Linked DNA regions of Oryctolagus cuniculus. The protein of the gene in region 1 interacts with the protein of each later gene in a pairwise test. Links are inferred from orthologs where the notes say so. Each region holds a gene or a part of one and is shown in the gene's direction. Other genes may lie near its edges.

Region 1 (4,394 bases):
TTTGAAAAAGTTACAGAGAGAAGTAGAGCCAGAGAGAGAGAGAGAGAGCAAGAGCTGTCCTCCATCTGCTGTTTCACTCCCCAAATGCCCGCAATGGCCAGAGCTGAGCTGATCTGAAGCCAGGAGCTGGAAGCTTCTTCCAGGTCTTCCACATGAGTGCAGGGGCCCAAGGACTTGGGCCATCTTCTACTGCTTTCCCAGGCCATAGCAGAGAGCTGGATTGGAAGAGAAGCAGCCGGGACTCGAACTGGGGCCCATATGGGACATAAGCACTACAAGTGGTGGCTTTACCCACTACACCAGAGCACCGGCCCCAGTAGTGGCATTTTCTAAGGATCTGAATTAAAATTAATCATGCTGAGCAGAAAACAATTTTGAAACTGTCATATTTGTATACTCCCTAAAACTTTTTAAAAAAAGATTTATTTATTATTTGAAAGGCAGAGTTAGAGAGAAGGAGAGAGGGAGGGAGAGAGAGAGAGAGAGTGCACGAGAGAGAGAGAGAGAAGACAGAGAGAGAGAAAAAGAAAGAGCGAGAGCGAGTGAGAGAGAGAGTGAAAGAACTCATCCATTGGTTCACTCCCCGAATGGCTGCAATGGTTGGGACTAGGCCAGGCAGAAACCAGAATCAGGATCTCCATCTGAGTCTCCCATGTGTATGCAAACTTAAACCATCTTCCACTGCTTTTAGCAGGGAACTGGGTCAGAAGTGGAACACCTGGAACATAAACTGGTGCTCATATGGGATACTGGCGTCACAGGCAGCAGCTTTACCCACTGTGCCACATAGCCAGCCTCTAAAACTTTTTCCAATCATGAAATATATTAGAGAGCCATATTCGGGGACATTCTACTTAGTGAAGATGCAAAAAGTACGCACCCTCCCTAACCTGACCACTGGGCATCTTGGGACAGAACTAAATGGTGGCCCCAGGACAGCATGCGCTCTCAGTAACACACACGTTTCCTTCACCACCGCCTCTGTCTCCCAGCACCAACCTCCTTCCTTGATGTGCTGTGGATTCAAGACCAGACACTAACAATAGCTCCTGTCTCCTACGTTCTCTGAAATTTCTCTACGGTCTCTCCTCACCAAGATCTAACTGAAACCTTGCTTTCCCAATGAAAATGGTGACTACTTTCTCTCCCACCTTGTCATTCCTCATAGGATAGCTGTCCTCACCAGGGTTCTCAGTGATCCTGACCTACTGGTGTCCACACCCTGAGTAGTTGAATCCCTCAGCGAAGCGGAGCCGACCGCTGGACTCCAAGAGAATGCGGTGTAAGTGACAGCGTGGAACTTCCGAGGTTAGGTCATAAAAGGCAGGCTCACACGTTCTGAGGGAAGCCACTGCTTGGCCATGAAGACTTGAGCAGCCCCATGCAGAAACCCATGTGTGTGCTGAGCCCCCAAACCAACAGCCAGTGCCAGCTTACTGGCCAAGTAAGTGAGACACTTTTTTCTTTTTTCCTTTTTATTTAAGATTTTTTAAAAATTTATTTGACAGGTAGAGTTACAGACAGTGACATAGAGAGACAGAGGGAAAGGTCTTCCTTCCGCTGGTTCACCCCCCAAACGGCTGCAACAGCTGGCGCTGCGCTGATCCGAAGCCAGGAGCCAGGTGCTTCTTCCAGGTCTCCCCATGCGGGTGCAGGGGCCCAAGGACTTGGGCCATCCTCCACTGCCTTCCCAGGCCACAGCAGAGAGCAGCTGGACTGGAAGAGGAGCAACTGGGACTAGAACCTGGTGCACACATGGGATGCCAGCGCCACAGGCAGAGGACTAACCCAGTGCGCCACGGTGCCGGCCCCACTTTTTTCTTTTTTAAGATTTTTATTTTCATTTATTTATTTGAGAGGTAGAGTTACAGACATTGAGAAGGAGAGACAGAGAGAGAGGTCTTCCATCCGCTGGTTCACTCCCCAGATGGCTGCAATGGCCGGAGTTGTGCTAATCCAAAGGCAGGAGCCAGGAGATTCTTCTGGGTCTCTTGCATTGGAACAGGGGCCCAAGGACTTGGGCCATCTTGAGCTGGATCGAAAGAGGAGCAGCCAGGACTTGAACTGGTGCCTATATGGAATGCCGGCATCGTAAGTGGAGCATTAACCTACTTCGCCACAGAGCCAGCCCCATGAGACACTTTGGAAGAGGGTCCTCCAGCCTCAGTCAGGCCTGATGACTGGAGCAGCACACTACTACTCAGGGCAACTTCATGGGAGACAGAACTCCTGACTCAAACTGCTCCAACCACAGAAACTATGAGAGAAAACTCATGATGGTTCTTCCTTCCAGTTACTCTGGTTTTGGGTGGTTTGCACGAAGCTCCAGTAACTAGAGAACTGATTAGATTTACACACCCTTAATCCTAATACTTTTCATTGTCCTTCACACTCTTTTTTTTTTTTTTTAAAGATTTGTTTTATTTGAAAGGCAGAGTTTCAGAGAGGCTGAGGCAGAAGATAGAGAGAGAGAGAGAGAGAGAGAGAGAGAGGACTTGCATCCGATGGTTCACTCCCCAAATGGCCACAACTGCCAGAGCTGGGCAGATCCGAAGCCAGGAGCCAGGAACTTCTTCCAGGTCTCCCACACAGGTGCAGGGGCCCAAGGACTTGGGCCATCTTCCACTGCTTTCCCAGTCCATAACAGAGAGCTGGATCAGAAGTGGAGCAGCTGGGACTCGAACCGGCACCCATTTGGGATGCTGGCACTGCAGGCGGTGGCTTTACCCGCTAAGCCACAGTGCTGGTCCCCCTTCACACTCTTAAAACCTTACTTTGCCTATATTACAGGGACAATCATTATTGCACACACTTGCATGCATACTCATCACTCTTCCTCCTTCTGTGATTTACCATATTCACCTGGTAAAAACCAATCCTAATTAAATCCAACTTTGTTGATTCTGTATTTGCACTTATGCAACTGCAAAAGACAACAAACCAAAAAACACCACACACAGCTGTGCAGGCCAGTTTCACTTTATTCTTTTGACCAGTTATAGTAATTTTAAAAGATTCATTTATTTACTTGAGAGGCAGAGTTACAGAGAGAGAAGTTTTCCATTGCTGATTCACTCCCTAAACAGGCACAATGGCTGGAGGTCTGCTGATCTGAAGCCAGGAGCCAGGAGTTTCTTCCAGGTCTCCCAAGTGGGTGCAAAGTCCCAAGGACATAGGCCATCTTCCACTGCTTTCCCAGGCCATGGCAGAGAGCTGTATCGGAAGTGGAGCAGCTAGGACTTGAACCGGCACCCATATGTGATGCCAGCACTGCAGGTGGCGGCCTTATCCACTATGCCACAGCACCGACCCTGAATAAATGCATCTTTAAAAAAAATTACCAAATAGCAGTATACTCTCTTTTAAATACATTAATTGTTGATATTTTGCTTTTCTGTTGCCTGTAGGGGCCCAAGCACTTGGGCCATCTTCTACTGCTTTCCCAGGTCATAGCAGAGAGCTGGGTTGGAAGTGGGGCAGCCAGGACTCCAACCAACGCCTATATGGGATACTGGCACCGCCGCCGGCTGCTTTAACAGATACACCACAATGCCAGCCCCAGTATTTGTCTTTCTTAAAGCATCTGAAAGGAAGCTGCAGATATTATGACACTTCTACAACACTTCAACAACAATTTTCTAATAGCCACTCTCCAACATAACTACAAATTATTAATTATACATAAGTGAATATCAACAAACTTATCGACGGTTCATTAGTTATTCCACAGCATCCGCTTTAATATACAGTTCAATGTTTCTCAATTGTTCCACAATATCTTTCTTTTTTTTTTTTTAACTTTTATTTAATGAATATACGTTTCCAAAGTACGAATAGTGGATTACTATGGCTTCCCCCCCATACCGTCCCTCCCACCCACAACCCTCCCCTTTCCCACTCCCTCTCCCCTTCCATTCACATCAAGATTCATCCACAATATCTTTCATAGCCGTTTATTTGGCGGGCGGGGAGTGAAGGGAATAACCTTTTATCATTAATTTCAATCCTTTATACAAAAGGACATGACTTCCCTCGCAAGTCACTTTTTCGCACATTGAAGCAAAACACATTTCATAGCAGCTCAGAAGTTTGAGGTTGCGAGATTAAATTCAATCTGACCTCTAGTAAAGATTGGTGTTGAGGCTAGCAAAGTTAATAGCCATCCTCAGGCAGGGGTCCTCAGTTGCCACCAGAGGGCGCAAGACGCCGCCGGCGCGACCCTAGGTGTACTCGGAGGGCTGGCGGACGCGGCGCAAGGCTCCGAGCCAGGAGCGCGCCGCGGAGGGGCGCGGGAGCGCGTCTGGTTGCCCCCTGCCCTCGGCGGGGCGCGCGGGGGCGCGCATGCGCGGCTCCGCGGCGGCGGCGGGAGCCGCGATGGAGGGCGCTCTCCCTGC
Region 2 (4,538 bases), on another chromosome or scaffold:
CAGCGCCCGCAGGTTCTCATCTGCTGTCCGGCCCGACCCCGAAGGCGGGAAAGAGAGCACGAGAGGGAGGTGCGCTGTCTGTACGAGGAGCTGGAGCAGCAGCTTCGCCAGCAGCGCCAGCGCCTTCGCACGCAGGTGGGCGCGCGCCCCGTCCCCCCCCCCCCCCGGGTCCCCGACACACCTGCTGGGCTTCCCGCGTCGCCCCGCCCCGCCCCGCCCACCGCGCACCACGTGGCCAGCGGAGGCTCAGGTGCCCGCGCGTTCCAGAACCCGCCGCGGGAGGAGTGGAGGGGCCGCCTGGAGGTGGAGCTGCAGAGCTGCGAGCAGGAGCTGGAGCGCGCGGGGCTGCGGCAGCGGGAGGTGAGCGCGCAGCCCTCGCCCCTCCCCAGCGCTCCTGGCCCTGCCGAGGTCCCGGGCCCCGGAACGGGCGGGCGCGGCTCCCCGGGAAGCGGCGGGCCTTCCTCGCCAGCCTCCGCCCCCGACACCCGCAGCTGGAGCAGCAGTTGCAGGCCCGCGTCGCGGAGCAGCTGGAGGCGCAGGCCCAGAACGCCCAGCTGTGGCGCGCCCACGAGGCGCTGCGGGCGCAGCTCGAGGGGGCGCAGGAGCAGCTTCGCAGGCTGGAGGGCGACGCGCGGGGTCGCCAGGAGCAAACGCAGAGGTGCGGCGGGCGGGGCAGGCGCGGCCCCGGCCCGGGCCACTTCCACCCCCCAGGGCCTGCGGGGCAGGGGAGGGGTCTCCCCAGCGGTCCGCCGCATCCAGGCCGCCCCTCCCCGCCCGCAGAGACGTGGTCGCGGTGTCCAGGAACATGCAGAAGGAGAAACGCAGCCTGCTGCGGCAGCTGGAGCTGCTCAGGTGCGGGCGGGCGCCACGCAGCCCCGGCCCCTCCGGGAGGGCAGGGACCCCTCCGACCTCGCCTTCTGCCTTCCCCAGGGAGCTGAACACGCGGCTCCGCGACGCGAGGGACGCCTGTGAGGCCCGGCTGCTGGGCCCCGGCCGCAGGAAGGCCCCGGCCACCGCCTGCCCGCCCGGGCCCACGCTGGGCGGCTGGACTCGTCCCCCCAGACGTGGCTCCGGCCACCTTCCCAGTGCACGCTGACCGGCCCGAGCCACGCACAGGGCGTTAGCGGGACAGGGCGCGCCTTGAAGCCCTGCGGGCGCAGGGGCCGAGTAGGGGTTGGGGGGCAGTGGGGCGTCTTCCTCCTGTCCGCATCGGTGTCCAGCGGGGAAAAATCATAAAAACTGCCAAATAAAGTCCAGGGACTGCACTGCCTCGTCCTCGGCGTCGTGCAAGTGCGCGGTACCTGTGCGGGGCACGTGGCCCTGGTGCGGGGCGGGGGGCTTCCGGCCGTGGGTCGTCACCCGAGCCCTCACCGTCCCTTCCGTGGGACCTGGCGGCCAGTGGAGGTTCCCACGCTCACCAGCCAACCCCGAGTGCGTTTCCCGGCACGCAGCCCTGCCAACCGAACTGACAGACTGACAGACCCCCGGGGGTGGGGGCCCAGACGCACCGGCGCGAAGCCCCCTCACCCTCCCCCGCCCCGGGCCGGCCTCGGTTCTGCCGACGCGGGGAGGCCGCCGGATCTCGCCGCTGTCGGGGACCTCCGCGCGGTGGTCTCTGCCTCCTTTCCAGCCCCTCCGCAGCCCCGCTTCCCTCCGCCGAGGCCCGCACTTCGCGAAGCCGGCTCAGACCTGCCTGGCGCTGTCTGCGGGCCGCGGGCGTGGCCCCGTCCAGGGGGCGGGGCCCGGCGCCGCGGGCGTGGCCGCAGCTCGTGTCGGGGGCGGGGCGTCTCGCCAGCGGCCCCTGCCGCGCATTCTCCGCTGGAACCGCCGCCCCCGCAGCGCCGCAGCCCGGGCCGACTCCGACGCGTGGCCGGTGAGTGCGCGGCCGAGCCGGGCCGAACGAGCGAAGCCGATGGCCCGCAGCCCCTGCGCGCCTGGTCGCGGGGCCCGGCGTTTGCGCGCGGGAGGCTACGCCCGCCGGACGCGGCCGCAGGCCCTTCCGGGGGAGCCCGGCGCCAGGCGGTCGGGGTGGGGGAGGCGCCTCCCGAACCCTGGGACTGGCGGGCGTCCCCGCCGTGCGCGGAGCCCTGAAACTCCCAGCCCGAGCGCCCCACGCAGTGTCTCCGACCCCGGCCCCTTCCCTCCGCCCGCAGGCCCACCCCTGCCCTGTGCATATGGGCGGGCCCCGGCCCCAGCGGTGACCTCACCGCAGACTGCGCCCGAACCCGCCAGCTGCGGAGCCCCGGAGCCCCCGCACTGGGGCGCGGGAGAGGCCCGGGACGGCTCTGCGCGCGGCCGCTGTATCTATTTCTGGCCACCCAGGCTCCCACGCTCCTGTCCCCGGGGGCTCACGGCCACCAGCCGTCCCTGGAGGGGCCGCCCTGCCTGGCCGGGTGGCGGGGATCCGGTCCAACCCCAGTAGCCTCACAAAGCCTGGGGCCTCTGAGTCAGCCCCAGGGGCACAGCTGTGCGTGGCCCCGGGAGTTGATGCGGGGAGTCTGAGTTCCCCAGCGGCGTGGGTGGAACTTGGGGGGTTGTGCCCCGCTAGCTGCTCTTTCGTGGGCGGAGGGCATGGGTGGGGCGAAGCCCCTCCCAGGATCGGACTGTCCGAATGCCTTTTCTGCCCCACCCTTGTCCAGACAAAAATACCGGGCCTGGCCACTGCTGGCCAGTTTTCCCGGGGGCCCTGGCCACGGCCTTGGTGGCTAGGAGGCTGGGGCAGGGTTCTGCCTGTCCGCAGGAGCCAGGCCAGTAACCTGTTACCTGCCCTGCAGCCCAGCTTCTTGGGAACTTCCGCCCACCTGTCCCAGAGACGTTGTTCCCGCCGCAGGTGAGTGCTGGGCGGGGCAGGAGGTGAAAGTGCAGCTGGGCTGCCCGTCTGCAAACCTGGCCCCGGGCGCCAGCCCCAGTCTGCGCCCGCAGGCCTCTCCCGGTGCCCCCCCAGCCCCAGTCTGCGCCCGCAGGCCTCTCCCAGTGCCCCCCAGCCCCAGTCTGCGCCCGCAGGCCTCTCCCAGTGCCCCCCAGCCCCAGTCTGCGCCCCCCAAGCCCCAGTCTGCGCCCGCAGGCCTCTCCCGGTGCCCCCCCAGCCCCAGTCTGCGCCCGCAGGCCTCTCCCAGTGCCCCCCCAGCCCCAGTCTGCGCCCGCAGGCCTCTCCCAGTGCCCCCCAGCCCCAGTCTGCACCCGCAGGCCTCTCCCAGTGCCCCCCAGCCCCAGTCTGCGCCCGCAGGCCTCTCCCAGTGCCCCCCAGCCCCAGTCTGCACCCGCAGGCCTCTCCCAGTGCCCCCCAGCCCCAGTCTGCGCCCGCAGGCCTCTCCCAGTGCCCCCCCACGGGGGGGGAACACCTGCCCTTCTGCTGACCCTCCAGCTCCTGCGCCTCGGTGAGGGTGGGCAGAGCCCTGTCCCCCGCCCCTGGGGTGCCTCTGCGGGCCCCTGTCCTGGGCCTGCAGCCCGCGGTGGGGCCGCGGGCAGGAGTGAGTCAGCAGGAGCCCTTGCCGGGTCCTGGGCTCCTGAGCCCTTCTCCCTGGGAAGTGACTCATGTCCTGTCTGCCCCCTGCGCCCGGGCATCTCCGGGTCCCCCGGCCAGGCGTGTGCCCGGGCCTCCGACCTCCCCCGCCAGCCCCAGGATGGGCGAGTTCAGCGAGAAGAAGGCCACGTGTGGCACCGTCTGCCTCAAGTACCTGCTCTTCACCTACAACTGCTGCTTCTGGGTGAGCAGGGGGGGCTGCCCGCGCCACCCGCCCCCCGCGCCCGGCCCCGGCCCGGCCTGACCCGGCACGCTGTCCGCAGCTGGCCGGCCTGGCCGTCATGGCCGTGGGGGTCTGGACGCTGGCCCTCAAGAGTGACTACATCAGCCTGCTGGCCTCCAGCACGTACCTGGCCACAGCCTACATCCTGGTGGTGGCCGGCGTCGTGGTCATGGTTACTGGCGTGCTTGGCTGCTGCGCCACCTTCAAGGAGCGGAGGAACCTGCTGCGCCTGGTCAGCGGTGGGGCCCCTGGGGGTGGGGTGGGGGGCTGCGCCCGTGGGGTCCGCCCAGAACGGGGGTGTCTGTCCCCTAGTACTTCCTCTTGCTGCTGCTCATCTTCCTGCTGGAGATCATCGCGGGCATCCTGGCCTACGTCTACTACCAGCAGGTGAGGGCTGGGGGGGGCAAGGCAGCGCCGCGGCTCACAGCGGGCCTGGGGGGGCGGGGGGCAGGCGTCCGGCCCCGCCCCCGCCCCCCCGCCTGACCTGGAAGAGCTGCCCCCCCCAGCTGAACGCAGAGCTGAAGGAGAACCTCAAGGGCACCATGACCAGGCAGTACCGGCAGCCAGGCCACGAGGGAGTGACCAGCGCGGTGGACAAGCTGCAGCAGGAGGTGGGTGGGGCCCAGGGGGGGCCTGGTGGCCGGGGCGGGCGTGGCGGCTCAGCCGACCCTGCTCTCGGCCCTGCAGTTCCACTGCTGCGGCAGCAACAGCTCGCGGGACTGGCGGGAGAGCGAGTGGATCCGCTCGAGCGAGGCCGGGGACCGCGTGGTCCCTGACAGCTGCTGCAAGACC

The links.
Region 2: the proteins of GRAMD1C (region 1) and CD151 interact in binary tests that used the Homo sapiens proteins (3 or more experiments, as listed by UniProt). The link is inferred for Oryctolagus cuniculus from reciprocal best matches to the Homo sapiens genes GRAMD1C and CD151.

The regions. Positions count from the first base shown.
Region 1 is NC_091435.1:69,831,305-69,835,698, forward strand, and holds the start of GRAMD1C (protein Aster-C), read left to right. Parts: upstream 1-1,309; 5' UTR 1,310-1,381; coding exon 1,382-1,444; intron 1,445-4,261; exon of another isoform or gene 4,262-4,341; coding exon of another isoform or gene 4,342-4,394. UniProt on the Homo sapiens protein: Cholesterol transporter that mediates non-vesicular transport of cholesterol from the plasma membrane (PM) to the endoplasmic reticulum (ER).
Region 2 is NC_091432.1:347,995-352,532, forward strand, and holds the start of CD151 (CD151 antigen), read left to right. Parts: upstream 1-1,719; 5' UTR 1,720-1,873; intron 1,874-2,774; 5' UTR 2,775-2,830; intron 2,831-3,583; exon of another isoform or gene 3,584-3,616; 5' UTR 3,617-3,623; coding exon 3,624-3,707; intron 3,708-3,786; coding exon 3,787-3,978; intron 3,979-4,058; coding exon 4,059-4,133; intron 4,134-4,252; coding exon 4,253-4,357; intron 4,358-4,433; coding exon 4,434-4,538. Other genes in the region: CRACR2B (EF-hand calcium-binding domain-containing protein 4A), read left to right, coding at 45-135, 268-360, 492-658, 781-852, 931-1,096. UniProt on the Homo sapiens protein: Structural component of specialized membrane microdomains known as tetraspanin-enriched microdomains (TERMs), which act as platforms for receptor clustering and signaling.